6 linked regions of the Oryzias latipes genome follow. The protein of the gene in region 1 interacts with the protein of each later gene in a biochemical or structural test. Links are inferred from orthologs where the notes say so. Each region holds a gene or a part of one and is shown on either strand. Other genes may lie near its edges. The genes, in order: disks large homolog 4, lrp2, tanc1, potassium voltage-gated channel subfamily A member 1-like, adrb1 and kcna4.

Region 1 (5,494 bases):
GTCGTCTCTATCGCTCAGACAATGCAGCATGAGGATGTTAATGCTATGCTCAGCACAGCACAGTTCAGGTTTCCATGTGACTCCTATGCTTACATAATGTTGGAGTGGGGAAGAAATACAGGAAATTACAACCATAGACTTTACTGTAAATGGGATAATTATAGGAATTATTACTCACATCAGTGAGTAATAATGTCACCAACATGAAAGTCAGCTTGAATTCAGAAGACTTTCAAAACAGCAAAAGATGAGCATATTTCAAATCTCATTTCAATCTCAATTCTGATTCTTAAAATGCAGCAGCTCTCTAGTTCATCCATGTTCATTATTCAGACTAGCTATACCATGTTTATCAATAAATATGTCTGGAAGGCAGCTTTAGTCTATTTTACATGTCCTGATCTCTAGCAATGTTCAGATTTCCCAGGGACATCCCCAAAGCTCTGCAAGGTTGCTAGAAAAAAAAACTATCAGAAGGGCATCAGCATGTTAAAAGGGGTTTCTGTATTCAATTTAATGCTGACATCACTAAAGAACATAGAGCCCTGCGCCGCAGTCGGTCCTGAGATGAATGCACAATATTTAAATCTGGCCTACCTGGTGCTCTCACTCCACCCTGTGGGCCTTCCATGGCAGCACAATTACACAAGAGCAACTAAACAAAGGTGAAAGAGCAAAGGAGGGAAAAATGGAAGATGGCTGCCTTCATCCAATTAACAAGGATAAAGCTTGTTTTCATGGGAAGTCATGGAAAAATGTCACCTGTAAAGAGACTTCTTAATGCAATACCACTGCTGGAGAAATTGTAGCTCCAATTGAGTCTTTAATCATTCATTTTGGGTCTGATGCAACAATTACAGAAAATGTGTCCCTTCCTGACCATCATGACTTCTAAATAACAATGTACACCATATATCTATCCAGTGTAGATGTTAGAGGAAAAAAAGGATTTCTTGGTTTAAAAAGTAACTTCTAAAGGACCTAAATAACCATATTGGTGATGTAAAAAATAGATCAAGCAAAATATATTGTTTGCATGTAATTTTAAAGGTTTTTATCTTTGAAACCGTCTTAGAAAGTTTTTGGATTAAAAAGGGGAAAGAAAGTGTTTGCCTTATTGAAAACAATCTGTCTTTGACAGGTCCAGAGGAGATACAGTGTGTCGTGCGAGATGTTAGAGTGATCTGTTTACACCCAGTGGCAAAAGTAAACCTTAATCAATGATCATGATCTGTCTGACCACATCAAAACAGAGCTAGTCAATCAAAACACATCACTATTGGTCTGGAGTGTGGATGTGCTTTTAGCACTTGGTGGTTCCAAAACATTTTAGATATAACAAACATAATACACATTTTTTATTATAAAATGGAATTTAAGTAGTGTAACTAAAAGAAGGCAAAATGTTCTCACTTTATATTCTAGTACTTTCTCTAAAAGTAAGTGAATTTTTCAGATAGGGGTTACATATTTTATGAAGAATGGGGAATGGGTGCACATATTTAAATATTTAATTTAATTTAAAAAATATCAGACTGATTATACCAAGTTTCTGATTTCCCATCAAAGGTTTCAGCACCACAGACAGCTCCACTTACAATTTTCCTCTCCCTCCGACAGGGGGCGAAGTGGCCACGCTGTTAGTATTGTGAACAGCAAACGCGGCATCAGAGTAAATATTTTCCCGTTGTTGTTGTTTATATTTGTTAATTTGTTTGTTTTATTTTAGACTTATACTGTTGCTATGATTCCTGTTGTGTTTTTGGGCTGCTTTTCTGCTCTCAGTGATTCCAGCTGCGCGTGGAGTCCAAACTTTACGGTCAATCAAGCAGAAAGAGCGGGGCAAAGAGAGGCAGGCAGACCTGAGTGGAGTGTGAGCGGCGGTGGGTGTGGGGGGTGTTCAGTCTTTCAGACATCATGGCGGTAGACATTTGTAAATGATTGATCGGAAGTCAGCTGCACAGAAACCCCGACGCCAGGCTTCAGGCGGCCGGCTTAGTTTGCGGGCCATCGGTGACTCTCCCAGCCGCGCGCTCCTGCGCCTCCACGGGCTTCGGTCTGCGCCGCGCGCCGCTGTGAGGCTCCGGTCTGATGTCTCTGCCTGTCAGGAATTTCAAGTGTCTCTCTCCGGTCATGTGCCAGTGTAAGGTCATCTGCAGCAACCGGACTCTGTCTCTCATGTTCGGCTGTAAGGTAAGAGGAAAGCAGCAGGAGAAGGAGGAGATGGCCTCTGGAGGAATCCGTAGCATAAAGGCTTCAGCTGTGATCGCATCGTCTTTGACTTCTTTGCATTTGCCTCATTTCATTTCTCCAAGTCCTTTCTCTCCTTCCCCATATCTTCAGATTTTGTTCTATGGACCCATTTGCGCTTTTTGTGCTCATATGACCGATTTCAATGTGCACAGCAGTCTAGAGCATCTCTGCAGCACTGTTTTCTTCATTAAATAAGGCATTTGTTTCTTTCAAATATGTCCTCAATAATAATATGGTCAGAATACAACTACATGTTTAATCCAGCTGGCATGGGTTTTTGACATTGGGAAGTGCACTTTACTGCTCAGAGCCACTTAGATATCATTCATCACCATAAGAACCAGTCTTGAAGAGGTATAAAGATTCATTTTATTCGATTCATATCATAATTTGTGGTTGACGATACATTCATTGTTCATTTCAAATGATCCGATTCAATTGTTCCAGGATATCTTTTGCCAAAAATTCAACCAGTGTGACTCAGAGATAAATACCTGGACAGGTGAAGTTTTCCGGATTCCTTGTATTTCTTGCAGGATTATCAAGTGTAAATTAAATATGTGTACAAACAAACAAGAAAACAAGAATCAAAGGCAAATCCATTCACGTTTAAATTTCATAACGTTTAGCCTACTGTTGTATTTCCACATCAAAATAATCCAAACAGAACATTATAAGAACATTCTACCAAACAGTATGGTCACATATCTTTGCTAAATTCGAAGGGTTTCCACACATTGGACTGGAATGATGGTTGATCATTTTTTGCTGACATATGTGTGTTGTGTGATGGCACTTTTAGGTTACAGTATATAAACCTACCATACCTCAATCTAAATGGTGTTTTCCAATATTGATTATAATTAATTTATTTCATTTTAAAATGATTTTATAATGGTATATGTCAATTTGATTAACTTGCGTCAGACAGATCGATCTGGTTGGATTGTAGGAATATAAAGAAATTCATCAATTGATCGTTACACCCCTACCATATTGACAATATTGAACATGAACTGAGCCTCCGCTTGATGTTTTTTTTTTTTTTTTTTTGGTGGAAACAGAAACAGAGTTAAGCTTTTGCTGTTTTGCTTATCAGTGACAAACAGGCCGGATGTGTTTGTGCTGTTTGGTTTTGGAATGTTGTAAAGAGACTGTGTGATCCCGTGTTCTTTCAATCTGTTTGTCCATCACATCCCAGATTTTTCTCTCCATCCAAAATTCCTGTGGCAAGCAGCCACAGGATACTTATCTCTGACCTGGAATTCTCCATGAAGAGTTTCAGACATTAAACTTCTGGGACTGGATAATTCTTATATATGCAAAAGATGCTGCTGGAAAAGTGGGTTGTTCTGTGTGTGTGTTATGTGGCGGGGGGTCCCATTACTCTATGTGGAGAACAAGCACAAGCAATCCCATGTGTCCCCATCCAGGCCTTCTCCTTCCTCTGTATTTCCATGGGAGGAATTGTGGAAAATATATCAGTTTCCCTGTGTGGATTCAAGTCTCTCAGCTAAAGGCTCGCTCCGTGAAAAGAGCGGTTTGACAGGGAATTAACATCTCAATGAGAGCAGGCTGGGCATGCTTGCACACAGGTTCAGTGGCCCTGACAGCTTGTGTTTGTGTTAGTCTCCTGGGAGTTTCTTCTAGGTGGGATTTTTCTTCTTCTTCTCCATCTTCAGTTCCAGCTGTATATTACAACATTCTTCAAGCGCTCCTGCTACTATCTGCTGTTATCTGACTAAGCTCCCTAAATTTCTTGTTATAAAAGCTCCAACATGCCTGGTCATTTCCCCAAGGTGATCGTCCAAGGTAGTTTATTTGCATAGGCTTTGTTTCTAAGCACAATTGTGCTCCGTCATTTCAAATTCAGGGTCTTAATTAAAGAATAAGATGTTTGCAAGCACTCATCGGTGCTTTGATGTGCTCTTTATGCTTTATACTCATTGATGGCCTCATGGCGTTTTATCAAAACAGCTTGCCTCGCTGAACTTTGTCTCCCGGCTTGGAGTTTTGCTCTGCACTCATGCTGAAGGCTCTGCAATACAGTCCTAATGAAAACAGAATATTCACTTATAGTGATTGATCTACAAGCGATGGATCCTTGGGCCTTCATCTCAATATCAAGATCAATAATCACCTCATCCTCGCCATCGATTGTGGGACGTCTTCCTGGAAAAAGTACGGTTAGGCATTACAAAGCAGCCAATCAGATGTTGGTGAGCAACTAAAAAACAGTGGAATTTAATATCCAAAAAGGAAGGAAGGCATTTTTTTGCTTCGCAGAAGCACCTCATATGTTCTGCTTTCCTCAGTGCCGGATTTGCATTTCGCTTCCAAGATGCGCCCGTTTTATCTAAAGCTTTGCACATATTAATTTATAGCTCTGACATTAAGCTTTGAGCATCATCAAAGTGAGGTGGTCAGGATTTATTTGTGCTCTACTGAGGTCCAAGGTGGATCTGCTCGGGATCAGCACCACCATGTCAACTCCTTCTATTTTTATAAATAATTTTATATATAGCACTTGCAGGTTTTAGTAGCTACATCACAAGCCACAAAAACTCAGACTTCTCCTTTATTTAAATGACGCTTTATGTCTGAGCGGATTAAAGAAAGTTGTCATTCAAACTTGACAATTTGATCCTTCCCAAATATCAGAAATAGAACATTACCGCAGGTTAGCATTTGGTTACTAGAATCAAATCTGCAGAATTCTTGACTCCACCTTCATAGGAAACCAAGAGTCACAGCAAGTGAGTAATGGTTTGGCAGTTAATGCTCTTTCAACTGATTGTCCTTTCTTAACAGAACATTGTGTAACTCTGTTTCCTAGGCATCTAGCATAAAAAATATTCATCAACAGACACTCAAAAGTAATTGGTTCTTTCATCAAGCAAACTATAGAGCATCAGTGTCCTCTTTAGGTTTAGTAGAGTTAAATCCACAAAATTGATATTTTTCAATGTTTTGTGTGTCACTTAATTGTACTATGTACCTTCAATATATGCTGTAATCTGTGATCAGTATCTGAAAACCTAGTTTAGTAGGTAGTCGTTATGACTTAGGCTATATCCCAATTCTCTCATTACTCCCCCTAAAAGGGTAACACAACAGGACAGTTGGAGGCTGACTCCACTCTCAGCCCAGATTTGAAAAATGCAACAAAATAAAGGGGAGGCGGGCTGAGATGGGGGGATGTGGTCTGGATCTGTGATTGCCAGTGACAGTGAGGTTAGCT
Region 2 (3,794 bases), on another chromosome or scaffold:
CTATCTATCTATCTATCTATCTATCTATCTATCTATCTATCTATCTATCTATCTATCTATCTATCTATCTATCACTTTGTGTTATGTTCTATATGAAGAGTGCTATATAAATAAAACTTGATTTTATTTTATATAAAATAGACATAAAAAGGAAGGACATGTTGCATAGATAAAAAGATCTACAAATGATAAACCATAAAAGCTACCAAATACTTAATATCTCAATAAATAAATAAATAAGTTGATTTAATTAGTTATTTGAAAGCTAAAATAAAGAGATGTCCATATCTATCTCCCTATCTATGTATATTCAATATGATGAAAATTATTGTCCTTTATTTTAAAAGGCTGTAAACAATCTGCTTTGGTGTAAAACACACAGGCTTTGCAATAAATACTAAAGCAAATTAGACAACTACATTTAGCTGTACATGGCACTTGCCTTAGACAAAGATATGGATACCGGCTTTTCCATGATAAACCTGCAGATCGCAGATTTTCCATCATTAACAAGAAACGATATGTTTTGTTTGGTTTAGAATGTCCTAATGTATTTAAAGACTAAATAAAGTGTTATGTCAGTTTACATTGTTCCATCATCTGCATCATTTTCTCATCATTAAGATATCAAATGTTAAATATTTGCTAAAACTTTCAAATGTTTGGAAGATGTTAAGATGTCACACTGACTTCACCACAAAATAAACACGTTTTTCTTGCTTCTTCAGAACAGTTTAGGATTATGGGAGTGCTGACAGTTTTCACTGATAATATGATTAAGTAAATAATGGCAACATGAAATAATGTATTTGACCAGACTTTAATTAAACAGTTTTAACTGTCGGTTGAGACGAGGTGCTCTGGCTTTTCTAACAGGTGACCGTTAACGTGAGTGGAGAACAGCTGGAGAACAACTTTGTAAACCCGGCGTACCGTGGAGATCAGACTGCAAGCATTATCAGCACATCTTCTGTCAGCAGCAAACCTGTTCAGGTGAGTGTCCACACACCACATGTGCATTTTTATGGATCATTTATGACATGCGATCTCTGTGCTTGCTTGTAGGAGTCAAAGTGGAGTTTTTTCAAACGAAAATTGAAGCCAAGCACCACCTTTGAGAACCCTTCTTATTCAGAGGTAGGTGTGGAGGCACAATCCTTTCCATGTGTTTCTCAAAGTCAAAAATACCAAGGTGTAACTTTTGTTTGGTAGATGAAAGATGAGAAGCCTGTTGAAAACAAAGAGGACTCCTCCAACCCGGAGCCCTCTCCTTTCACGCCACCTGCCAAACCTCAGAAGAAAGATCGTCCTGGGACCTTCACGCCCACCGAGGACAGTTTCAAAGACACAGCAAACCTCATTAAGGAAGACAGTGACGTATAACCCCCGTCTCGAGACGGGACTCAAAGAAAAAAAACACACTTTGCACAGAATTTATTTTTTTATGCAGCCTGTGTACAAAACTCAAATCGTTTTAGGGTCAAAGATTCATCTCTACAGAACAAAAACAAAAGTCTTTCGAGAAGATGCCTTCTGACATTTCTTCTGCCAATTCTTGTGTTCGTGTTTTTCTTTATTTTGATGTACAATATGTATGTCTTTGCACTGAAGCTGCTGATAGAACTGTTAATATGTTGTATATTTGTAAATTTGAACAGTGAGATTATGTCCGAAATATCTCAAAAATTGGTAGCAGATAGATCAATATAAGCGAAGCATAACAACTATGAAAATGTGGGTTACATTCCGAATGTACAGTACTTATATGATCAGATGTTATCAGAGAAATAATGAATGTTGGATTATTTTTACCAAACAAAACTGAAGATGTATTTACGTCTTGCTTGTTTTCAATTTTCAGGGCTGATGAATTAAAAGCACAAAGAAAAATTGGGCAACAACTCATTCGTGTCAGTTAGGTTTCAATTGCAGATTAGGATTTTAAAAGAAAAAGTGAGCTTGAATTTGTGTGCAAAGAATAACTTATTGTACTTAATCACAGTGGGGTGAACTCAAATCAACCTGATTGTTTTTAACGGAGTGGCCAAAAGAGTTTGTACACTGCTGTGTTGTCTTGAAGGGTTTCATATGACTTGAGGATGCAAATGTTAACGTTGAAATTGAGAAGTTTCTGTTTTCTTCACAGTTTTTTTTTTGTATCATGAAGATAAAAATGTGGGATAACGAGAGAAATTTTCTGCTGCTGAGACACAAACGAATAAATTTCCTATTTTATAATGCAGTTTTGACACTTTTTCTGTCCTTGGAATTGCACCCAATTTGTTTCATGAAACACGAGCAACTTCGACTGATAAACTAAGAAGCTTTTCTGTTGTTTTTTGCTTCTTCTGGGCATGGCAGGAGCGTTTTCACCACAAAGTCTGCCACAAATGAAGGCAGGTATGACAGTGGGATCCAGAAAAGCTTAGCATCCCATCCCGCTCCGTAACGTGTGCGTGGGAACCGCGCGGTCAAGGCGTGCTCCATGCACCTGGTCACCTTTGAGAGGTCTGCGCTGCACAACATCCTCATGGAGAAGTCCTGCACTTTCGTATCTGAGAAAAGAAAAAACACATATTAGGAGCTGCTTCATACAATTATGCTGTAAATCAACTGTACCTACAGTCTTTCAAATATGTGTTTCCATATGCGTTTTTAACATGTTGAGGTAGGCGGGTCCACAGTCTCCTCATGTCAGCATTGATTAGATCAACGCTGGTCACAGCTGTCTTGAAGAAACCCGGCTCGATGATGCTCACTTTGACACCAAAATGACTCATGTCTTTCCTGAAGGAAAAGAGACGATAAATTGCCGTATTAGAGGTTTTTTCGATTTCAACTTCAGAAGAATTGAAAAAGAATCTACATAAACATCAAATTTAGCAAATAATACCAAATACCTAATAATATCTAATCTTGAATCTTTCTGCCTTAGCTCCCCTCCTTTTTTTAAGAAACAAACCAACATAAAAAATATGTTTGAGTTCCACACCGTGGATTTAATCCTATGTGGGAATGTGCAAAATGCCAGAAAATATTTTATTGAGAGGCCCTGTGAAAGAATGGTGCCCTGTCCAAGATATACCCAAACCCACACACCCTGAAGGAGATGGGATTAGCTCCAGCAGGTTGGACATAAGGAAGTGGAAAAATATCTTAATAGGAGTGAAAATGCAAATTTGGGGGACTTTATTTTAAAATCTCTTTGGCTTTTTGCGTTTTCCAGCAGATTTTCTTTGAATTCTAGGAACAAATGTGTGTGGAGCTTTTACCTGAGGCTGTCAGAAAAGGCCTCTACTCCCCATTTGGATGGACAGTATCCTCCCCCAACAAGGTTCAATCTTCCGAGTATACTGGCCACGTTTACCACTCTGCCTCTGGCCTTCTTCAGAAGTGGAATGAACTGCAGGGTCACATCAATGAGTCCTATCAGGTTGACATCCAAAACCTTGGTGAAGTCCTCCATCTCCATCCAGTCTGTTGGGCCGATGGGTATCGACCTCCCAGCGTTGTTCACCAGCCCCCAAAGACCTGCGGTGGGAAAGCAAGATAAGGTTGGAGAGTCACAGCTTTTATTTATTCAGATTTCCTTTGATTATGCAGGTTCCTTTTTAAGCTGGGATGCTATTGGTGTCCATTTTAAGGCTTCAGTGGTGGTTCATGTCAGCTGGCTTGATACAACTTAGTTTGTAATATAAAGTTAAAAAAGAAAATGTAAGAAAGATTCAGAGAAAAGACAAAAAAAAAAAGAAAAAAATCAACAATATAATTTTAGTTTTTGTTAAATAAAACTG
Region 3 (5,006 bases), on another chromosome or scaffold:
ATTACTCAAGCCTCGCGCTGCAGAAATTATTGATTTCATGATTTTGATTTGCTGCATCAAGACAAATATACATGACTTGGGATGTTAATAAAATCCACATATTTGGGTGCATGTTGCAAATTTAAAATTCACATATGTCCTTAATCCAGTTTGTCCAAAGATTAAACACTCACTTTAATAAATGTAATTATATATCCAGAAATCTAGATGTCCAGATTTTATTTCTCAACTCTATTTCAAAAAGAAATCCCTAAATCACGAAAAAAAGAGTTTGACACAACCACGGTTTTTACCCCTGTATCACACTGAAAAGATGCAGCCAGAATGCTCATGGTGACTAATTTACAGTTTAAAGAAAATGAGCGCTCAGAGAGGTATTCATTATCGGTTTCACCTCCTCAGCTGCAGAGTTGATCAAGCAGCCCTGCAGCTGTGACAGATCCAAATCACACCCGGTTTTGTTTGAATGTTCCCATCAAAATCATGTATTCTTATTTAGGAAGGGAGATTTTCCCATCCCATTACAAATTCTTTGCTAGAACATGTATTTGTACCAACAGGCCTGCTGAGTTCTGTGTTTAAATAGAGACAGATTAGAGTGTACCTCTGTGCAATCTCCATTTTTTGTTAAGTCCCTCTTAGGGTGCAAAGCATGTCTGGGCTCTGCAAAGAAATATTATTGAACTGCACAGACTCATCATTCTTGCTGCAGAGCAGAGACCAACTACAGTTCTTTATTATATTCACACGCCATTCCCTCATTTCCTATTGTATCTGGTTTTAATTATAATTTGGGGATTTAAGCAGAAGATGTTTGGGATATTTTTATGTTAAATGAGGTTTTAAGCAGGTTCCGAATTTGATTATTTTAGGGGGTATAATATAATTTTTTTTCTTAAACGGATTTGTATGCTGTGCTGAGACTGTTCGACTTTCTGAGACACAGCAGTTTTTCTCTTGCCAGTTCTTAGTTTCTTTTAATACAAACATGTTAAAGACCCGCCCACTCCAATCATCTTTGGATCCATTTTTAAAACTTTCCCAGTCGTCTTTTAAGTAGGATTATGCTGTTTTTAGCCCAAATAAAAAGATAGTTGTGATCCACCCAGTGTATTTTCTACGTCACCTATAAGCTCTTTTTCAAGCAGCATTGATGATTTGAATAAATAAATGGTCAAAATGCAATTTTAGCTTCATTTTCTTTATACATCTCCTCCAACATCAGACAAATGCCACAAGGACACGTTAAAGACACCAAAAACACAATTTCCATTGGAGTTGGTCTTTAAAAATGCACACAAACACATCTTTACCTATTTAACCTCCACTGTATTTGTAGTAAAAGTTAAATCTAGTTTTTTCTTTTAACTTTCACTTTTTTGTCTTAATATTTTGCTTGTGCATTACCTTCTAGATGAAAATAAATAAGAAAAATTATGTTCTGTCTAATCCTTCAAAGTAATTTTCCCTAAATCCTTTTAAAACCCTCAAAAAGTCAATGTTCTGTGTTTATTCTATTAGAACATTTGTAACGTTCAGTTAAAATCAATATTTTCATAAATCAGTATATATTTAGTCAGAATAAAAACTGCATTAGATAATGGATCTCTTCTGTATTGCATGACAGGACATGGCTGCAGAGGTCATGACCTTTTAAAAACAAACCTTAGGCGAGTTGTTGGGTGACTCTTCTGTGACAATGGTCAAACAGCTGCCATTCCTCAGTCCAGCTGTTCTCCTGCACGCTGGTTCGAAGCTGGCAGCGCTCCCAGTGCGCTTCTTGTTGCTCCCTGGAGCACAGCCTAAGTTTAGCTTCTTGGAGTCATTGTTCTGCTGGAGGGCCGAGTGAGGAAATCCACATTTTTAAGCAGATGGAAGGTGGGGCTGTTTTCGGCTCCGATGACCGTTGGCCCAAACGGGTGATGTCAGTTAGATACAGAGGATCGGCAGCCCCTCAAGTTCTCTGGGATGACTGTGAAAGCAGGGCTTCTCTGATTCTCACGGTGGATCTCGCTGCTCGTGGAACCAGAGCTCCTTTAGGACGCCTGCATCTGCTGTAAGCACCCGGTGTCTCAATAGACTCTTGATTTTGGTGTCAAAATGAATCAAACTGCACTGTGTGTTTGGCAAAGTTTGTTTGCCTTTGCTGGCTGATGATTTTCTGCTCATCCCTGAAATGATCTGTGTGTGTGTGAGGCCTGGAACATGAGGCAGGAATTTAAAGACTTTGACAAGCAGAAACCTAATTACCCGTTTGTGACTCAATTAAACTCTGGGTTTAGCTTGCATTTCTTCGCTTGTTTAGAGTTTGCGGACTAATGAAACTGTCATTATTACAAAGCTGCAAATTTTAGTGTCCTCTCAAGCTCTTGCTGCCTGATCAACATGTCAATGTATCATCAGGAGTATTTCACTTGCCGAAATGAGTGAAGCAGCAATACCTGGATTCACAATGAGAAGTTTGTGCTACTTCCTGTTTGCAGCTCTGACGGCTGCAGCCGGCAGAGGAAAGATGGAGGTCTGCAGCTTCCTCCTGGATCAGGGTGCGATAGTGCAGCAGGTGAATCGACGGGGGGTTTCTTCCCTGTTCTGTGCCGTCAGACAGGGACACTGGCAGGTGAGAGTTCTTTTTGTTAAGTCTCCTGTATCCACGGCAACCACGGCAAAGAAAAGACCAGAGGGAGCCGGCATTGAAACGCTGTGGTTTTTCACCAGAATGCTATGTTGGTTTGTTCCTCAGATCGCCGAGCTCCTGTTGGAGCACGGGGCTGAAATCAACATCAGTGACAAACAGGGCAGGACCCTCCTCATGGTGGCGGCCTGCGAGGGTCACCGAAGCACCGTTGATTTTCTGCTGTCTAAAGGTGAAGCGTTCAAACCCCTCCTCAGTGAGCGCGTGTGAGCGCCAGCGTCCTGACGATTTCTTCCTCTTGAAGGTGCTTCGTTGACCCAGATGGACAAGGAGGGTCTGATGCCTCTCAGCTGGGCGTGTTTGAAAGGACATAAGGATGTTGTGCAGTTCCTGGTGGAGAAAGGTGCGATCATCGACCACACGGATAAAAACGGACGAACTCCGCTGGATTTGGCTGCCTTTTATGGAGACGCAGAGATTGTGAGTAAACCTTTCATCCATCCGAGACGGTGAGAGCGATTTAGCTAAGCGCTCACTGTGTTTGTCATGTAGGTCCAGTATCTGGTGGAACAAGGAGCAGTGATAGAGCATGTGGATCACAGTGGGATGAGGCCTCTGGACCGGGCCATTGGTTGCAGGAATACATCGGTGGTGGTGACTCTGTTGAAGAAAGGGGCCAAGCTAGGTAAAAGTTCATCTTATGTGGCTGCACCTTACCCCTCTCACAGAAAATCAGTCAACTAGGGAAAATGCATTTTCCATCCTATCCAGCCATGCATGTTCAAGTGGCCACTCCCAATAAAAAGTCTTTGTAAATTTGTGTATGCGGGTTTTAGACCTTCACATTCAAAAACATTCTACCGCCATTATCGGGCTCTACGTCCATTAAACACGTGCTGCCTCTCAAGGTTAAACTTTGACCAGTGAGGGACTGGGATGGCGTTCCTTTTAATTCAGGGAAGTGCCAACCATTTGAAAACTGATCATGGAGGAGAAATCAATACTTGCTCTGTGGCTAAGTCTTTCATTCATTGGAATAGAGCTGCAAAAGAAAAAGCCTGGAGCAAGATTTGCAAACTTTGCACCGCTTTGACATCAGTAAACAGTTGCAAAAGAAGAAGCCCCTCCCTGCTTGTCCAGTGTGAACACTATGGTCCAAACATGTCACATGCCTGGTGTGATCGTAGCTTCAGGTTTGTTGATAACCAAACTTTCATATTACTCGTTATTGTTGTTCAAAAGTAACCATCAACTTTACAATCTTGCTGTCTCAGAGTTATAATGTGTAACATGAGTCCTCCTTTTTAATTATAATGTATGCAGAAATAGACCATGAACTAAGAAGTGGCAAATAGACTGCAGAGTCTTTTACACTGCCAGTAAAAAGTTGTTTTGGGGACTCATCAAGAATATTGTTTATGTTGGAAAGTTGAAAGCAGAGAAGGCAAAACTAAAAGACCAACCCAGTCAGTTTAGTCCATAAAAATTAAATTTAGGATAAAATAACAGAACAAATATTGAACGGGAGGGAGGCCTGTGTGCTTTAGGAAAAAAACATTTAAAAAACCTGCCAAATAAAAGCTGCTTAAAAATACTACAACTAGCTTACATTTGCTTAGTTAAAAAAGACACGACTGACAGAAAACAGGACCTATTGGTAATACAAAAACAAAAGGGTTTTGGTCTGTGAGGATTTTTAGCAAAATTACTCCCATATTGATCAAACTGCTTCTTAAATTTAGACATAGTTAGATTGGGGCTGTGAGGGGCTGTCAGCAGCAGGAGAGCAAATAACCATGGATAATAGGAAGTGAGGGCAGCCTTGCTCCGAGCCAAGAGGTGAATATCTAATGAACTCTTGCTGCTCTGCAGAAACTATGTCCTAGAAAACCAGATATCTTTTTTGATTTGGGCTAAAAACGGCATAAAGACCACTTTGAAAATGGATCAAAACAGGATCAGACTAGGACTTTAAGTCTTGAATGCCAGCTTGTTTTCTAGTTTTGCATATAAAATGACAATTTTTTGTAGATTTGCAAACAAAGTAAGAAAAAAAAGTTAAAAACATATTACCTATGCTACTGTTTTAAATGTTTATTTGTGTAAATATCTAAAATCAAGAAAATCCTGGCTAGATTAATGAAATGTGCTGTTCTGTGGGAGTTCAGTTACGTCTTCATCAGCACAGAAACTGCTTTGTCTGTCTGGCTTGTTTATCCCAGCTTGGTCCTAAGAATAATTCCAGACGAACGATATGGAATGTTGTGGAAAAGCGTTCCAGCTCTGCTTCTGTCTGACCCGCAGACCGGCTGGTCCATTCCTCCCTCATGTGCTGCTTGACTAATTTTAAGCATTTAGCAACACTTCCAGCTGA
Region 4 (5,444 bases), on another chromosome or scaffold:
TGAACCAGACTGAACATGGACAACAGAAAGCCATGGAGAGAATTGTCCCAGGACATTAGAAACACAATTATAGACAAACATGGTAAAGGTAAAGGCTATAAAACCATCTCTAAGCAGCTTGAAGTTCCTGTGAGCACAGTGGCACATATTATTCAGAAGTTTAAGACCCACGGGACAGTAGCCAACCTCCCTTGGCGATGGAAGAGGAACATTGATGACAAATTGAGGAGACGGATAGTTGGAACTGTCTCCAAAGAGCCCAGAACAACCTCCAAAGACATTAAAGGTGAACTCCTAGATCAAGGTACATCAGTGTCAGATCGCACCATTCGTGGTTGTTTGAGTGGACTTTGTGGGAGACGACCAAGGAGGACACCACTGTTGAAAGCAAACCATCAAAAAGCCAGACTAGAATTTGCAAAAATGCATGTAGACAAGCCACAAAGCTTCTGGGAAAATGTCCTTTGGACAGATGAGACCAAACTGGAGCTTTTTGGTAAGAAACATCAGCTCTATGTTGGTTGACTCAAAAATGAAGCATCCAACCAAAAGAACACTGTCCCTACTGTGAAACATGGAGGAGGCTCAGTTCTGTTTTGGGGCTGCTTTGCTGCATCTGCCACAGGATGTCTTGAAGTTGTGAAGGTCAAATGAGATCTCCAGATTATCAAGGCATTCTGGGTAGAAATGTGCTGCCTAGTGTCAGAAAGCTTGGTCTCAGTCGCAGGTCATGGGTCTTCCAACAGGACAACCATCCAAAACACACAGCCAGAAACCCCCAAGAATGGCTCAGAGAAAAGCGTTGGACTATTCTGAAGTGGATTCTATGAGCCCAGATCTGAATCCCATTGAACATCAGTGGAAGGAGCTGAAACATGCTATTTGGAGAACCGTCAAACCTGAGACAACTGGAGCAGTTTGCTCATGAGGAGGGGGCCAGAATACCTGTGGACAGGTGCAGAAGGCTCATTGACAAATACAGAAACCGTTTAGTTGCAGTGATTGTCTCAAAAGGTTGTGCAACAAAATATGAAGTTATGGTTACCATCATTTTTGTCCAGCCCTATTTCATTAGTTTGTTTTTTTTAAATAATTCTGTTCATCAAAAACTCAAAAGTAATGGTTGATTCTGATTTTTCAATTTTCAATACATATTAATTTATTGTTCCCTTTGAACCTTTCAAGTCATTTCAGTGAACATTGTGGACTTCCTTTCTTTAACTGAGGGGTACCAACTATTTTGTCCACCACTGTATGTGATACAGTTGCAGTGCTAAACATTGTAATCATTAAATAGACTGCATTAGATCGTATTATTACGATGAAAGACACATTAATATCCAGGTACAGTTTTTTAAGTCATACTCCTAAAAAAAAAAGTTTTCCAATAAAATATCTGGATACGTATCGTATCGCCGCTGTCCCCCTTCAGGGGTCGCCACAGAAAATCCGCTTTTACTGATTTACTCAGAGTTTGTAGCCGCTTTCAAGCGGTGGGGGTGTGGCCTTCTAAGAAGCTCCCTCCTGATTGGTGAGAGTGGTTGTCATAGAAACAATGACTCTGACCCATTTGGATCAAGAAAGTCAATTCAGTTGCCATTTTTGTCTGAATCACGTCCGTGTCGTGCAGAAATGGTGACTGAATCGACCCCCTCTGGTTGGAGCTGGTTGGAGCTTCATGGATGACGTCACTTAGTCCAGAACGGCGTAGGCCGAGCAGAACTGCAAACGTTTGGAGTTTCTGGAGCATTGTCATGGGACGAGTCTCTGCTCGTTTGGTCCACAAAAACCACAGGAATTCTGGAGGAATGTGACGTCATGAGCTTGGAGGTGGAAACGCCGCCAGCTCCAAGCTGAGGAGCATCAGTGACGACTGGAAACTTTCAGCGTTCATCATCTGAAACCTCAACTTGATTGTTTGTTTGTTTTTTTCATCACCAAAAGCTGACAGTTTGTTTCCAGCGGTGTGTGATGGCTCGATGACGTCACAGAAGCACGAGGAGAGTCGTGTTTCCTTCAGGGTCTTTGACCAGCGCGGCTGAAAGGAACAAAGAAGATCCTGGAGAAAAGGCTCCTTCAAAGGACAGAGTGCCGCCCGGGGGCCGCCCCCCCCCCCCCCACAGGAGAGGACTCGGACACAAAGGCAGAGAAGGCGAGGAGCTGGTCACGTGGGAGGACGGCTTTGGGAGAGACAAGGAGAGAGGGGGGGGGGGGGCATTCTTTGAAAAGGACATTCAAAGCGTGAAGAAGAGCTGGAGTCCAGAGTCTTCATCAATCTCCCACATAATCCCCGCCCACAAATCAGAGACTCCTGCCGCTCTGCAGAAACTATGTCCTAGAAAACAGAACTAAAACGTCAGAGGATGAAAAGGGAACTGGGAACGCTCTGAAAACAGATCAGAGGACTCGACCTCTGAGACCGGTGGGTGTGAAGGGTTCCCTGGAGAACCCAGAGAACATATTGGTTCCGCATGGAGATATTTGCACAAATGTTCCTTAGAAGAGTTCACGTCCCTGTGTTTTTGGAGGGGGGGGGTGTCTCTGAATGCTGACTGACAGCACAGAAATGCAACCGCCGTGCGCGCGCTTTGTGCCACAAACGGAGCGCGTCTCCGCTGCTGGAGAGAGGGAGGGAGCGCATCTCTCTCTCCTCTCAGACGTGTTTCGGTTTTCCGCGGCGGCTGAGCGCGCGAGCCTCACTCCTGACGTCAGGAGTGATCATCGCGGCTGCTCTCTAATCCGGGTCTGCGTCTCTTCCCGCGGTCTGGATGTTGACATCTCTCCCAGCTGCGGCGCTCCGGAGCGGCGGCGTTCCACGCATGCCCCCGCGCGCGGAGCAGCCGTGATCCAGAGCTCAGCTCCGCGCGCACAGCCCCCCCCCCCCCCCCCCCCCCTGTATCCGGACTCAAACCTGCGGGATGTTCGGGCTCCACGCGCCCCCTCAGCTTCTGCTTCAGTGACCGTGGATGGCAGCGGCATGGAGATCGCCTTGGTGAGCTTTGAAAACGGCGGCGCCAAAGGCGGCGGCGGGAATGCCGAGGAGAACTGCCGGCACGCGCTGGAGGTCCCTCAACCGGGCTTCGTCCAAACGGCGCTGGGAGAGGAGCGCGGGAAGGAGCTGAACACCCGCGGGAGCCCCCGGCAGCAGCTGAGCCCCTGGAAGATCAACGACATGAACACCACGCTGAGCTGCAGCGAGAACGCCATGGATGCGCTTTTACGCGCGGACCACAGCCCCCACCTGTTCGACGAGGACCTGCTGGACATGGACGTGGACGCGGAGAGCAACGAGCGGGTGCTCATCAACATCGCCGGGCTGAGGTACGAAACCCAGCTGGGCACTCTGAACCAGTTCCCGGAAACGCTGCTGGGAGACCCGGCCAAGAGGATCAAGTACTTCGACCCGCTCCGGAACGAGTACTTCTTCGACCGGAACCGGCCCAGTTTCGACGGGATTCTGTACTTTTATCAGTCCGGGGGGAAGATCCGCAGACCCGTCAACGTGTCCATCGACGTGTTCGCCGACGAGATCCGGTTCTACCAGCTGGGAGAAGAGGCCATGGAGCGGTTCCGCGAGGACGAGGGCTTCATCAAGGAGGAGGAGAAGCCGCTGCCCCAGAACGAGTTCCAGAAGCAGGTCTGGCTCATCTTCGAGTACCCGGAGAGTTCGAGTCCGGCGCGGGGCATCGCCATCGTGTCCGTGATCGTCATCACCATTTCCATCATCACCTTCTGCCTGGAGACGCTGCCGGAGTTCCGGGACGAGCGCGAGCTGGCCGTGAGCGTCCGGCCGGACAACGGCACGGCGCCGCGGCCCTCCCTCACCTTCTCGGACCCGTTCTTCATCGTCGAGACCACCTGCGTCATCTGGTTCACCTTCGAGCTGTTCGTGCGCTTCTTCGCGTGTCCCAGCAAGTCGGAGTTCTCCAAGACCATCATGAACATCATCGACATCATGTCCATCATGCCTTACTTCATCACGGTGGGCACGGAGCTGGCGGAGCAGCAGGGCCAGGAGCACCAGAACGGCCAGCAGGCCATGTCTCTGGCCATCCTGAGGGTCATCCGCCTGGTCCGGGTCTTCCGGATCTTCAAGCTGTCCCGCCACTCCAAGGGGCTGCAGATCCTGGGCCAGACTCTGAAAGCCAGCATGCGCGAACTGGGGCTGCTCATCTTCTTCCTCTTCATCGGAGTCATCCTCTTCTCCAGCGCCGTGTACTTCGCCGAGGCGGACGAGCCCGAGTCCCACTTCTCCAGCATCCCCGACGCCTTCTGGTGGGCCGTGGTTACCATGACGACGGTGGGCTACGGGGACATGCGGCCGGTGACGGTCGGGGGGAAGATCGTGGGCTCGCTGTGCGCCATCGCGGGGGTTCTGACCATCGCGCTGCCGGTTCCGGTCATCGTGTCCAACTTCAACTACTTCTACCACCGCGAGACCGACCAGGACCAGTCCTCCCTGAAGGACGAGCCCGCAAGCGGCCGCGCCAGCCCCGAGCCGCGGCGCCGGGGCAGCCGGGCCTCCGCCAAGTCCCAGGACGCGGAGAAGAACGAGGGGGGCGACGGGGGGGAGAAGAACATGAAGGCGAACAGCAGCGTGGACTTCAAGAAGTCCCTGTACGCCTTCTGCCTGGACACGCGCGAGACAGACCTGTAGACCCGGACCCGCCCGAGCCCGCAGAACCGCCCCCCAGCCTCACCCCCCTCCCCCGGGCTGCACAGGCTCAAAGGTCTCAACCCTCAACCTCAACTGTCCGCGCGTGCTCGATTAAGGAAAAAACTTGCGCGTGAGCTAGTGGGAAACGGGAGTGAGGCGCGCGCGCAGCCGTCAGGATATGGGATCATTTCTGGACACGCAGAGGATTAACGGAATCTGAACATGAACCTCGAGTGGGTCTCACGCTCACGCGCACAGACTTCAGACGAAAACAGAGGATCTTTTTTCACGGATTTTCCTTTTCCTGTTTGAAACTTTCAAATCGAACTTTTCTGACAAACTGAGTGGAAGTACGACAGGAGCGGGGAGCACGTGCACGGAGGAGGCGCGCACACATCAGGTCAGTGTCAAGCGTGCGCGCATGTTTATGGCAGCTGAGAGCTGCGTTCTCAGCTTCAGACTCGGTTCAAGTCGGACTCGTCCGGAACAAGTCCGACCTGATCTACGTCACAACCTCCTGAAACAGAAAAACGATCATTTTAAAAAGACACATTTCAGTCACATTCTTGGTGGGAAAAACGTTTTTCCTTCACTTATTTATGAAAGTTTTCTATGATCCAAACGTTAAATTGATCTTTTCTCTTTTTAGTCTTTTTATTTTTTAAATGTTCAAATAGTTGAAAACAAATTTTTACTAAAGCTATTCATGTTTTATTTGAGGAATAAAAATGATTACAGTTCGATCTATTTTCAATATTTTGTCTGATTTCTGCTCATTGATGCAAAT
Region 5 (5,477 bases), on another chromosome or scaffold:
CTCCTTAAGTTAGCAGTTTTTAAAACAATACGATATGACTCAAGGAGATGCTATAACAGACCCAGTTTCATGGACCTCTTTGCTCACTGAGTTCATTTGCACTCAGCCTTACTAGCAGCCTGTAAATCCCTCCTTACAGCATTCCTCGAGTAGTGCTTTTGTTGTGCAACTGGTCTGCATGAAGGTTTAGAGAAATTTTCTAAGGAATTGGCAGAAAAAGTTCTGGCTTAGATCTTTGCACAGTTCATATTTCTTCTTTACAAGAAAACATGTGGGAATCAAAATCTAACCCCCATACACTAAATTTTAAGGCTGTTTCTATGAATTTTAAATTTTTATTTTTTAATTAGCTCTTACAATTGAATGAGTACAGTTACAAAAACAAAAAGGTTTCCCCCATAGACAGGGTCTGCAACCTGAGACTCTGGAGCCTCAGGTTTTCCTCAACAGTGGCGGAAAAAGGGTTAATAACTTGAAGAAATAATAGGCTTCTGGTTCGGATAGTTTTAAAGATTTTGTCATAAAAGATCGAAATGGTGGTTGTTCATTTACAATCAGCGTGCAATAAATATAATAAAAAGTATTGTTGTTAACGTCAACTGTTTTTGACCATAAATAGCTGGAGAACCATTTCTATCATGTTTTTTATGTATTTATTTTCAGCTGATAAAACAAAACCTAAACAGCATAAACAGAAATTTAACAATGATTGACAATATTTAAAGTTTGTAAAAAGGGATTTGGATGAACATTAAAAGTCCCCTTTTTTTTCAGTTGGAAGGTTGTGAGTTCAAATCCAGGCCGAGTCATACCAAAGACTCTAAAAGTTTTTTTTGATTCTTTTTATTTATTACATTTTAATAAATAATTAATAATTAAAATAAATAATAATTTGATCTGAATTCAGTCTCTAAAGTTTATATTTATACAAACTGTATTTTTTGCATATTACAAAAGGTTGAGACTGAAAACAAACAGAGAAGGTTTTCAGGAAGAAAGTAAATATCAATGAATCTTATTTATTCCTTTATTTCTATTGCGTATATCACCCTTTTACAATTGTTTTAAAAACTTTTTTATATTTTCAATTTTTAATGTCTTTCTTGCAATTATTCCACATGTGAACTGGGGTTTTTTAGTCTTAAATAAAATGATATAGCTCTGTTTATGAATGTCATCTGTCAAACCTGACTAAATTAACCAACAAGCTTTCAACGTAAGACTATTTGTCTTAAGAGGACTGAGGACAGAGGACTGTGGACAGAGGACTGTGAACAGAGTCCTGCGTTTGCCGCTTCTCTTTGGACCAAAATAGGAAAATTCTAAAATGGTCCTCAGAAATATATTTTGGTGTTTATTATTGGAGCTGAATGAAGAATTTGAGAGTTTATGATTCCCAACCAACCATTCACTTGAGGTGAAACTAATCCAAAAGAACAAGGAAAGCCTCTAATTGGCCCCTGAGCTTAAGGGGTCTAACCCATGACTCCTGAATGTGGATTTAGATTGAAAGTACTTTTCCAGCAATGAGGTCACTTTAAATATGATAAAAATAAGCTTTCCCAGGTTTATTTTCTCAAAAACAACCAGTCTGTCTATCTTAGGGTCACTTGAGGGATGTTAAGACTGCTTCATGGTTGATGTCATGTTTCAGCTTCAGACGAGGGGTCACAGAGGTCATGAGGAGTGGTCCAGAAATAAATCCAGCTTCTTCTTTGGTGTTTAAACTTTAAACGCTTGCCGTTCAGTCAGTTCCCATCTGGAGCTCTTCATGTTCATTTGAACCACTCAGCCCGTGGACAAGGAGAAGAGAGGTTGTCGACAAGGAATCTGGGAATTCTGACTGCCAGTCAAACCCAGCGTAGCTTTATGGCTTCTGATAAGGTGGGAGTCGATCTCAAGGGAAGCATTTCTGGAGGTAAAAATATAAATGTGGAACAACAAATCTGGTTTGCCATGGAGGGTGATGAAAGCGGGAAAATCCCTCTGGATTTTCACTTTTGGCCTGGTGTTCCCACAGTGCTGGAATTTTTTTTTTCAGGAAACAGGGACAGTTTGTGTTAGTAAGTAACAAACATAAAGTGGTGCGTTTTAGGGTGTTTTATTTTCAGAAATATGATACAAAAAAGAGGCCGAAGTTGATGTTGCCTCCTCTGATCCACTGGGACCTTTGTTCCACTGGACTGCCTGATTGGTCGCACTGATTGATGATGTCACCCGTGTTTCAGTCCCCGCTGGGGGGGCATCAAGCGCAGAAGAAGAAAGCAGCTCCAGATGGAGTTTGCGCGCGCTGGGATTGGAGCTGCGTCTCTGTCGAGCGCAGCAGAAGGAAACGGCTGCTGCGCGCTGCCTGAATGAACTCACCCTGCTGTCAAACGCAGCGCAGCAACGCGCCATGGGGGACGGCGGCGCGTCCTCTCCAGTGACCCCCCACAACGGCACTGGAACCGAGGCGTCCAACGGGCAGGGCACCGTTCCAGCCGCGTCCGAGCAGTGGACAGCAGGCATGAGTCTGGTGATGGCTTTGATTGTGCTGTCCATTGTTTTTGGGAATATCCTGGTGATCTTGGCCATAGCCAGGACGCAGAGGCTGCAGACCCTCACCAATGTGTTCATCGTATCGCTGGCCAGTGCAGATCTCATCATGGGCTTACTTGTTGTGCCGTTTGGCGCTGTGCTCGAGGTGCGCGGCTTGTGGCTTTACGGCTCTTTTTTCTGTGAGATCTGGACCTCTGTGGATGTCCTCTGCGTCACCGCCAGCATAGAGACCCTGTGCGTAATCGCCATAGACAGGTACGTGGCCATCACTTCACCTTTCCGCTACCAAAGCTTGTTAACCAAAAGTCGGGCCAAAGCGGTGGTGTGTGTGGTGTGGGCCATCTCTGCGCTGGTCTCCTTCCTCCCCATCCTGATGCACTGGTCCCGCGACAGCATGGACACGGACTGCTACGAAAACCCCCAATGCTGCGACTTTGTCACCAACAGGGCATATGCCATCTCCTCCTCCGTTATCTCCTTCTACATTCCTCTCGTGGTGATGATTTTTGTTTACGCACGCGTGTACAGAGAAGCGAAAAAGCAGCTCAAAAAGATCGACAAGTGTGAGGGCAGGTTTCACAACACCCTGACAGGGCTGACCTCCAAGTGCAAGAAGAGACCTTCAAAGATCTTGGCGCTCAGGGAGCAAAAGGCGCTGAAAACTCTGGGAATCATCATGGGGACGTTCACTCTGTGCTGGCTGCCCTTCTTCATAGTCAACGTTGTGCGCGTATTTTGCGCAGAGCTTGTGGACAAGAACGTCTTCGTGTTCCTGAACTGGCTGGGTTACGTGAACTCTGCCTTTAACCCAATTATTTACTGCCGGAGTCCGGACTTCAGGAAGGCTTTTAAGAGGCTGCTGTGCTGCCCGAGGCAAGCCGATCGCAGGCTGCACATCAGCTCCTGCGACCTGACGCGCTGCTCCGGCGGGTTCGTGTCAGCGCTGGAGCCTGGCACGCTGGAGATGTGGTCCGACTGCGCCGTGTTGGACAGCAGCGACAGCATCCTGGTGGGGACGAAGCTGCCGCGATCTGAATCCCAGCTGTGAGGTGGATTAATGCACTCTTATGGGAAACTCAAAAACAAAACAGAAATAACTTGATGATCCTTCTTTCTCAAAAGCTGTGCGTAAAAGTCATCCTCCAAATTAGCTAGAATTTTTTTATTGCAATTTCCCATCTGAATCAATTCACAATGCCGACGGATAACGATTTATTTTATATAAATCTGCACTTTGACTAATTAAAACGCAAATCTTCCTTTCATGGAGGAAGAACGAACACCTAAGCAGAAAATGTTTCATCATAAATCCGTGGGATAACTTTCTTCTCTCCTCTCTGGAGAAGGGGAGAAAAAAAAATATTGCTCCACCTTAACGAAGTACAACAGTTCATCTGTAAATGGCGGCTGATGCGCACTTTTCATGAGCAAAAACCTTTTGTCCAAGTGTTCAATTCCTCTTACAATGTGTTTTACCTCACAGCAAAGACAAGTGCAATTTGTATGACATGTTGTTGTTTATATTAAACATGATGTAAAATAGCTCTGCATTTACTCTGTCTTTTTCAGCTGGGAAATGAAGGACAGGTGATTGTATATAATGAAGTGTTAAGCACTAAAGGGAGGAAACTGGGCCTCTCTGACTGTCTGTCTCTCTTATTTTAAATGCTGTTATGAGGTGGTGCTTCTGTGAAAATAAAAGATGGTTTCATTCTTAAATGTTGGAGCTTTTATTTCCTTCCAGGGAGCAATGACACTAAACTTCTCCACATATTTTTGAATATTTTCCTTTTTCATCAGCTACAAAGTAAGAATAGAAGAGGTATTTTATTTGAAATGTATATGGCATCAGGTGATGCTTTCAATGCGTGGATTAGGACTGCTGGATCAGGGTCAATCAATTAGCAAACAGCTTTTTCTTCTTTTCCTTTCGGCTTTTCCCTACAGGGATTCCCACAGCCAATCAGCTTTCTCCATCTAACCCTGTCTTCTGCACCCTCACCTTTAATACCAGCTACCTTTACGTCTTTGTTCACTGCATCCATAAACCTCCTCCTTGGTCTTCTTCTAGACCTCTTGCCTGGCAGCTCTAGACTCTTTCTGTCTCCTCTGGACATGCAAATCATCTCAGTCTAACTTTATCTCCAGGACTCCTGATGTACTCAGTCCTGATCCTATCCAAACAGCTGATTTACATATTTTACACTTTGGATTTAAAAGATTTTGATTATTTCTTAGCTCTACCTTGCTTTTTTCTTGTTGTTTCTGCTTCAGAATTGTCGATTTTTAAAAGAAAATTCTAAAGTTTTCAAGTTTGAGCCACTTTAAACAAAAAACAACTCTGTAAAAATCAATTATTATATAAAGATTTTTTTTATTTAGTTAAGGAGAATTTTAAAATTTAAATTGTAATTTAATCATGTAGTTTTTTAAATAGCCTAATTACTAACAAGGCTTTGGGGGGGGCATGTTCATTTTCTGCAAGAGGATATTTAATGTTAATTTTGCTGATTTTGTTCTATGCTTTTGTGCATACTTGTGAAATTTGTTCAGACTGTAAATTCTGGGATATTCTGCACACTACGTGCAAAAAGTGGGGGAAAATGCATCACTATCAGCAAGGTTTTAGGCGGAACTGAAAGATAATGAGTTAAAATCTTTGCATGAAATGAAAAAGAAAGGTTTAGTATTCTCTGCTTGTTTGCTCAAGTCTCCATCAAACGCAGCATTACATTTCAACCTCACACAGTTAACTTGAGCATTTTTTACATCGTTTGGAGGATTTTCCACAGCATTACAGACTCAAAAGCCAGGAATTTTAATGGACTAATTTGCGCTCCTGCAAACAAAGAAGTCATTTGGTAACAATGCTGCAGTTCCAGGTGGGTGAACTGGCGTGTTTTAAGGGGACGTGTGTTCCCTCTCAACTGCATTCCTGC
Region 6 (5,110 bases), on another chromosome or scaffold:
CTGAAGCAGACAGATGTTTCTTGACCTGACCATCTGATTGATCAGAACGGTTCATGCCTTATTCACCCTCCCTGCGCGCGCCGGGCTCCAACTTTTCTCCTCTGCTGTGCGTCCACATCACCTTGAGGCGTTTTATATAGCGCTCAGACAGACTTAAAATGGAGTTTGCTATGGTGGGCGCGGATGGCGGGTGCAACAGTCACCTGCCGTACGGATATGCCCAAGCACGGGCGCGTGAGAGGGAGCGCGAGAGGGAGCGTCAGGCTGCTCAGTCCAGAGCGGCGGCTGCTGCGGCGGCGACCGACGGGGGCCCTGCTGCGGAGGGAGGAGGAGGAGGCGGCCATGGAGGGGGGTCCATCTCCACCACCACCTCCTCGAGCGCTCATCTCCTTAACAACCGCCAGCATCAGTCTCGCGCCGCCTCCTCCTCAACGAGCGCCAACATCAGCAGCGGCGCCGCCTCGCGCCCCTCCTCCTCCTCCTGGCACCAGCAGGATCCCGAGCAGCAGCAGCAGAGAGTTCTCAGAGAGCGGAAAAAGCAGCGCGGCGTCGGACGGTGGAGACGCAACCGGGGGACTCTCGGCGGAGACCTGCGCCACTCGGAGCTGGCGCTGCTCGGATCGGAGGAGGACATCATGATAGAGGAGGAGGAGGAGGAGGAGGAGGAGGCTGAGGGAGCAGAGGAGGAGGAAAAGGAGCAGCAGGGGGGCCGGGGAGACAAGAGGTCCAGCTTTCTGTGCAACATGGACGAGGATGAGGAGACCGTGTCGATCACGGACAGGCGGCCCCAGTCCGGGTACGAGAACGCCTACAGTGAGTGCGGCTGCTGCGAGAGGGTCGTCATCAACGTGTCGGGTCTGAAGTTTGAAACTCAGCTTAAGACTCTCTCTCAGTTCCCGGACACGCTGTTGGGAGATCCCGACAAGCGCATCCGATACTTCGACCCGCTCAGGAACGAGTACTTCTTCGACCGGAACCGGCCGAGTTTTGACGCCATTCTTTACTATTACCAGTCAGGGGGGAGACTAAAAAGACCCGCCAACGTCCCGTTTGACATCTTCTCCGAGGAGGTGAAGTTCTACGAACTCGGAGAGGAGGCGATCCTGAAGTTTCGGGAGGATGAGGGCTTCGTGAAGGAGGAGGAGAAGCCTCTGCCGGAGGACGAGTTCAAGCGTCAGATCTGGCTGCTGTTCGAGTACCCGGAGAGCTCCAGCCCTGCCCGGGGGATCGCCGTGGTGTCCGTGCTGGTCATCGTCATCTCCATAGTCATTTTCTGCCTGGAGACGCTGCCAGAGTTCAGGGATGAGAAGGAGTATCTGCAGCCGCGGGACAACTCCTCTGAGCCCGACCACGGATTTACGCCCTTCAACGACCCCTTTTTCATCGTGGAAACCGTTTGCATCATCTGGTTCTCCTTTGAGTTTATAGTTCGCTTCTTTGCGAGTCCCAGCAAGACCGCTTTCTTTAAAAACATCATGAACTCCATAGATATTGTCTCCATTTTGCCTTACTTCATCACCCTAGGCACGGATCTGGCGCAGCACCAGGGCAACGGCCAGCAGGCGATGAGTTTCGCTATTCTGAGAATAATTCGCCTCGTCCGGGTGTTTCGCATCTTCAAACTGTCCAGGCACTCCAAGGGGCTGCAGATCCTGGGTCACACCCTGCGCGCCAGTATGAGGGAGCTGGCCCTTCTCATCTTCTTCCTAGTTATAGGTGTCATTCTTTTCTCCAGCGCGGTGTACTTCGCCGAGGCGGACGAGCCCACCTCTCAGTTCACGAGCATCCCCGACGCGTTCTGGTGGGCCGTGGTCACCATGACGACGGTGGGCTACGGAGACATGAAGCCCATCACCGTAGGTGGGAAGATAGTGGGCTCCCTCTGCGCGATTGCGGGTGTGTTAACCATCGCGCTCCCGGTGCCTGTCATAGTGTCCAACTTCAATTACTTCTACCACAGGGAGACCGACAACAACGAGGACCAGACACCTGTGGTGGAGAGCATGCCTCCAGGATGTCCGTATTTCCCCGACTTTCTAAGGAAATTCAAAGGCTCGCCCTCGGGCTCCTCGCTGGGGGATAAAGCGGAGTACATGGAGATGGAGGAAGGGCTGACGGAATCGCTATGCGGGTTGGACAAGAGCCCCAGTAAAGGAAACGGCACAGACATAAGCAGAAAAAACAGCACTAACTCTAAATCTATTCAGACAGACGTGTGATTTTTTCTGAAAAGACATTTTTTGCCCAGCATCAGGTGACTACCCCTCAACTTTTACGCTCCATTCAACCCCTCTTACGCACTCATCCACCCCTTTCACAGTGGCAGGAAAATGCTCCATTCTTTTTCTTTTTTCCTCAACACCAACTTCAGAACCATATTGTATCATCTGAGCTGCGGGCTTCCAACTCTAACATCTAAGTCCAGTTCCACAGAAGAGACAGGCTATGCATTCGCACTTTATGAGTTTTTTTGTCACATCCGAGGGGTAGGGACGATCATTTTGCTGTTATGCAATAAAGTTATCATTTGTTTGCACTAAATTAGTATCTGCGCTGGGTTTGGGGCAAGTTCCTGTAGAGACAGAAAACTGTAGGCCATGCTGGCAACATTTTAGGAATAACTTTACGGAAAAATGTTAGAGAAACTTCTAAAAAAGCAAAGTAACATAGAAAACAACAGCGTTTAAACCCTACCAAACTGTACTCCATTGAAGAAGAAAATAAGACAGAAGAACTACCTTTATCTCTGTTCCAACACTTAAAATATGAATATATATCCATAATTGTTATATATCTTTCTAAAGAGGCTTTATTTTAAATGAGTCAGGGCTACATTGAGATACGTAGTTTAAAAAAAAAATCCCCTTCCTATCCTAAACTAAAGTAAATCATCACCATGACAAGAGTTAAGCACATTCATCATCATTTATGGCTGGAGAAATGACTCGTTGCAGGTCATCTGGACATTTTTGGAGCCTTGAGACAAACCCCTCCCCACCTTTTTTTTTTTTACATTTTCCTCCACTTTCATTCAAACCACCTCAAAGTGACAGTATCCCTTTACAAGATGGAAGATTATAGCAAAAACGACTGTTGTGGAAAATTCTTCAAGGAGAGTTTACGCGCAATTTTTTTTCTCAAGTCAATGCACAAGCGTACATGGCTCAGAAAACCAGCGGAATAAGGATGTCTTCCAAGGTATGTGACTTTTACTCCTTTTTAATTGACACAAAACACACAAACAAAGCCTCTAAAAACAGGAACCACTTGAAGAAAATCCATGCAATGCATTTGTTATTTTCTCGCCCTTGGATGTATCTCCACTACCTTGGTAATCTCTTAGACCCCCCCCCCCCCCCCAAAAAAAAAAGAAAAAGAAGAAAAAGATGCATGGATGCGCGTGCGTAACCGTGTGTAAAACACGATATGAACGCTGGACGACTATGACGCACATTCCTGCCAACATCAGTTAATGTTTCTCCTGTGCAACTTTACAGCTACCCTCAGACCTCATTTGCAACAATATCACAGCGTTTTTCATTAATAACGGGGGCAATTATTTCATCCATGATGACATCAGGTCAACTTCAGGGGAATTGTACTTAAACTTTTGTAAAAAAAAAAAGCAACACCTCATAATTCTGAAGCTCATTAATACACAATCTGAACCCCATTTTTTATCTTCATTTAAAAAAAAAAAAAAAAAAAAAAACATCACTCAGAGTAATCACTGACACCGTTTTTATACTCTTGGCTGTTGATAAGAGGTTTTGCAGAATCCCAGCTGCATTTCTGTCTAAAGTAACACAAACACTGTAATTTAATGAGATTTTGTTTTTGCTTGATGAAAGTATTTTAAACCTCCAAAATAAAAGGAAAGAGAAAAGAGGAAAAAGAATCATATCAGGGTTGTCTTCCAACAGAATTCTTGCTTTAGCTTCTTATTAACTTTACTAGATAACTTACTTTGTGTGTGAGAAAAGAGGGGAGAGACTATGTGTGTGTGTGTTTGCAGAATTTGGCACAAGTAGGATGTTTTTACAACCATCTGCTGAAGCAGGAACGTTTCTCTTTGAGCTTCAGCCAAAGAAGAGTTCACATGAGCAAAGGCTGCATGACAAGTTTGTGGCTTTGTGGTCAAATATATATCCTGTACTCAGTTAAAACGTCAAAACTCTTAGCGCTCTTCATCCTTGAACAGTAAAATAAGAGAAGCTTTAAACAAGGAAAAATTTACAACATAATGGATTCTGAATGAGATAAAGGAGGGTTATTTCATGCGATCGTACTCTAAAACTTTACTGCATCTCTCAAAGAAATGAAGGAAGGTTAGTTTTGGGAAGCTACTGCAAAAATAATACCAGACGTGTTGAGCTTTACCTCAAAAGTTCAACAAAAACAAAAGAATAAATAGAAATTTACCACCTGGTTTCAAATATGCAAGTAGGCAAGATGCTCATTTTGGAAAAGTGCAGCAATGATTTATACTGCAAGTTGCAAAAAAGTGGAGAAGCATTTGTTACTGTCAAAAAGTTGAAAAAGGTAAGCAAAGGTCCTGTAGAACTTTGCTGTTCTTTGATGCCAAAAGGCTCTGTAATGTCAGCAGCCAGAACGTTCCTTCCAGTAAAATGGTTCTGTGCATCCATCACTGCGTCAGTCAAAGCATCAGCATGTACTCATTTATAGCGATGAGTGTTTGTGTATTTTGTTTGTGTAAGGTATTTTTTCATTCCCGCCCATACCTGAACCTCACACGAACCAGGATCTCCCGCTTAAACCTCACAGTGAGCGCTGAGAGTGTGTGTGCCTCATAGGAAGAAATACAGTTGAAAGTGTTCTTTAATCAGTATGCGGGTTAGATGCTTTGTGAGGCTTGTGGCTGCTGACTGGACTGTGAACACAGCCTGTATCATCTTCAGCCACAGGCACTGGATGATTCTGACTGCTCATGGCGTTCCGTTGTCACGTGCAGGCTCAGTCTTTGCAGTGTAAATTTAAAACATATGGCTGAGCCGCGCGACAAAGTGAGAGTTATTTAGGGTTATTTCACGCAAAGGTATTCAGTGTCCGTTCAAGGACACAGAGAAAGGGAGGAGAAAAAAAGAAGCCG

Evidence for each region.
Region 2: the proteins of disks large homolog 4 (region 1) and lrp2 form a complex in vitro, tested with the Homo sapiens proteins (2 studies listed by BioGRID and IntAct, with this or other methods). The link is inferred for Oryzias latipes from reciprocal best matches to the Homo sapiens genes DLG4 and LRP2.
Region 3: the proteins of disks large homolog 4 (region 1) and tanc1 interact in a test that uses a peptide from one of them, tested with the Homo sapiens proteins (2 studies listed by IntAct, with this or other methods). The link is inferred for Oryzias latipes from reciprocal best matches to the Homo sapiens genes DLG4 and TANC1.
Region 4: the proteins of disks large homolog 4 (region 1) and potassium voltage-gated channel subfamily A member 1-like form a complex in vitro, tested with the Homo sapiens proteins (2 studies listed by BioGRID and IntAct, with this or other methods). The link is inferred for Oryzias latipes from reciprocal best matches to the Homo sapiens genes DLG4 and KCNA5.
Region 5: the proteins of disks large homolog 4 (region 1) and adrb1 form a complex in vitro, tested with the Homo sapiens proteins (2 studies listed by BioGRID and IntAct, with this or other methods). The link is inferred for Oryzias latipes from reciprocal best matches to the Homo sapiens genes DLG4 and ADRB1.
Region 6: the proteins of disks large homolog 4 (region 1) and kcna4 form a complex in vitro, tested with the Homo sapiens proteins (8 studies listed by BioGRID and IntAct, with this or other methods). The link is inferred for Oryzias latipes from reciprocal best matches to the Homo sapiens genes DLG4 and KCNA4.

What each region holds. Positions count from the first base shown.
Region 1 is NC_019872.2:14,363,994-14,369,487, forward strand, and holds the start of disks large homolog 4, read left to right. Parts: upstream 1-1,901; 5' UTR 1,902-2,091; coding exon 2,092-2,193; intron 2,194-5,494. UniProt on the Homo sapiens protein: Postsynaptic scaffolding protein that plays a critical role in synaptogenesis and synaptic plasticity by providing a platform for the postsynaptic clustering of crucial synaptic proteins.
Region 2 is NC_019879.2:21,616,862-21,620,655, reverse strand, and holds the end of lrp2 (low-density lipoprotein receptor-related protein 2), read left to right. Parts: intron 1-876; coding exon 877-993; intron 994-1,065; coding exon 1,066-1,137; intron 1,138-1,212; coding exon 1,213-1,383; 3' UTR 1,384-2,242; downstream 2,243-3,794. Other genes in the region: retinol dehydrogenase 7-like, read right to left, coding at 2,317-2,555, 2,624-2,787, 3,273-3,531. UniProt on the Homo sapiens protein: Multiligand endocytic receptor. Acts together with CUBN to mediate endocytosis of high-density lipoproteins. Mediates receptor-mediated uptake of polybasic drugs such as aprotinin, aminoglycosides and polymyxin B.
Region 3 is NC_019879.2:20,905,855-20,910,860, forward strand, and holds part of tanc1 (protein TANC1), read left to right. Parts: intron 1-2,483; coding exon 2,484-2,617; intron 2,618-2,740; coding exon 2,741-2,864; intron 2,865-2,936; coding exon 2,937-3,112; intron 3,113-3,184; coding exon 3,185-3,317; intron 3,318-5,006. UniProt on the Homo sapiens protein: May be a scaffold component in the postsynaptic density.
Region 4 is NC_019881.2:23,511,443-23,516,886, forward strand, and holds the start of potassium voltage-gated channel subfamily A member 1-like, read left to right. Parts: upstream 1-1,798; 5' UTR 1,799-2,545; coding exon 2,546-4,657; 3' UTR 4,658-5,057; intron 5,058-5,444. UniProt on the Homo sapiens protein: Voltage-gated potassium channel that mediates transmembrane potassium transport in excitable membranes. Forms tetrameric potassium-selective channels through which potassium ions pass in accordance with their electrochemical gradient.
Region 5 is NC_019877.2:5,428,577-5,434,053, forward strand, and holds adrb1 (beta-1 adrenergic receptor), read left to right. Parts: upstream 1-1,729; 5' UTR 1,730-2,395; coding exon 2,396-3,586; 3' UTR 3,587-4,257; downstream 4,258-5,477. UniProt on the Homo sapiens protein: Beta-adrenergic receptors mediate the catecholamine-induced activation of adenylate cyclase through the action of G proteins. This receptor binds epinephrine and norepinephrine with approximately equal affinity.
Region 6 is NC_019861.2:9,904,868-9,909,977, forward strand, and holds the end of kcna4 (potassium voltage-gated channel subfamily A member 4), read left to right. Parts: 5' UTR 1-158; coding exon 159-2,219; 3' UTR 2,220-3,869; downstream 3,870-5,110. UniProt on the Homo sapiens protein: Voltage-gated potassium channel that mediates transmembrane potassium transport in excitable membranes. Forms tetrameric potassium-selective channels through which potassium ions pass in accordance with their electrochemical gradient.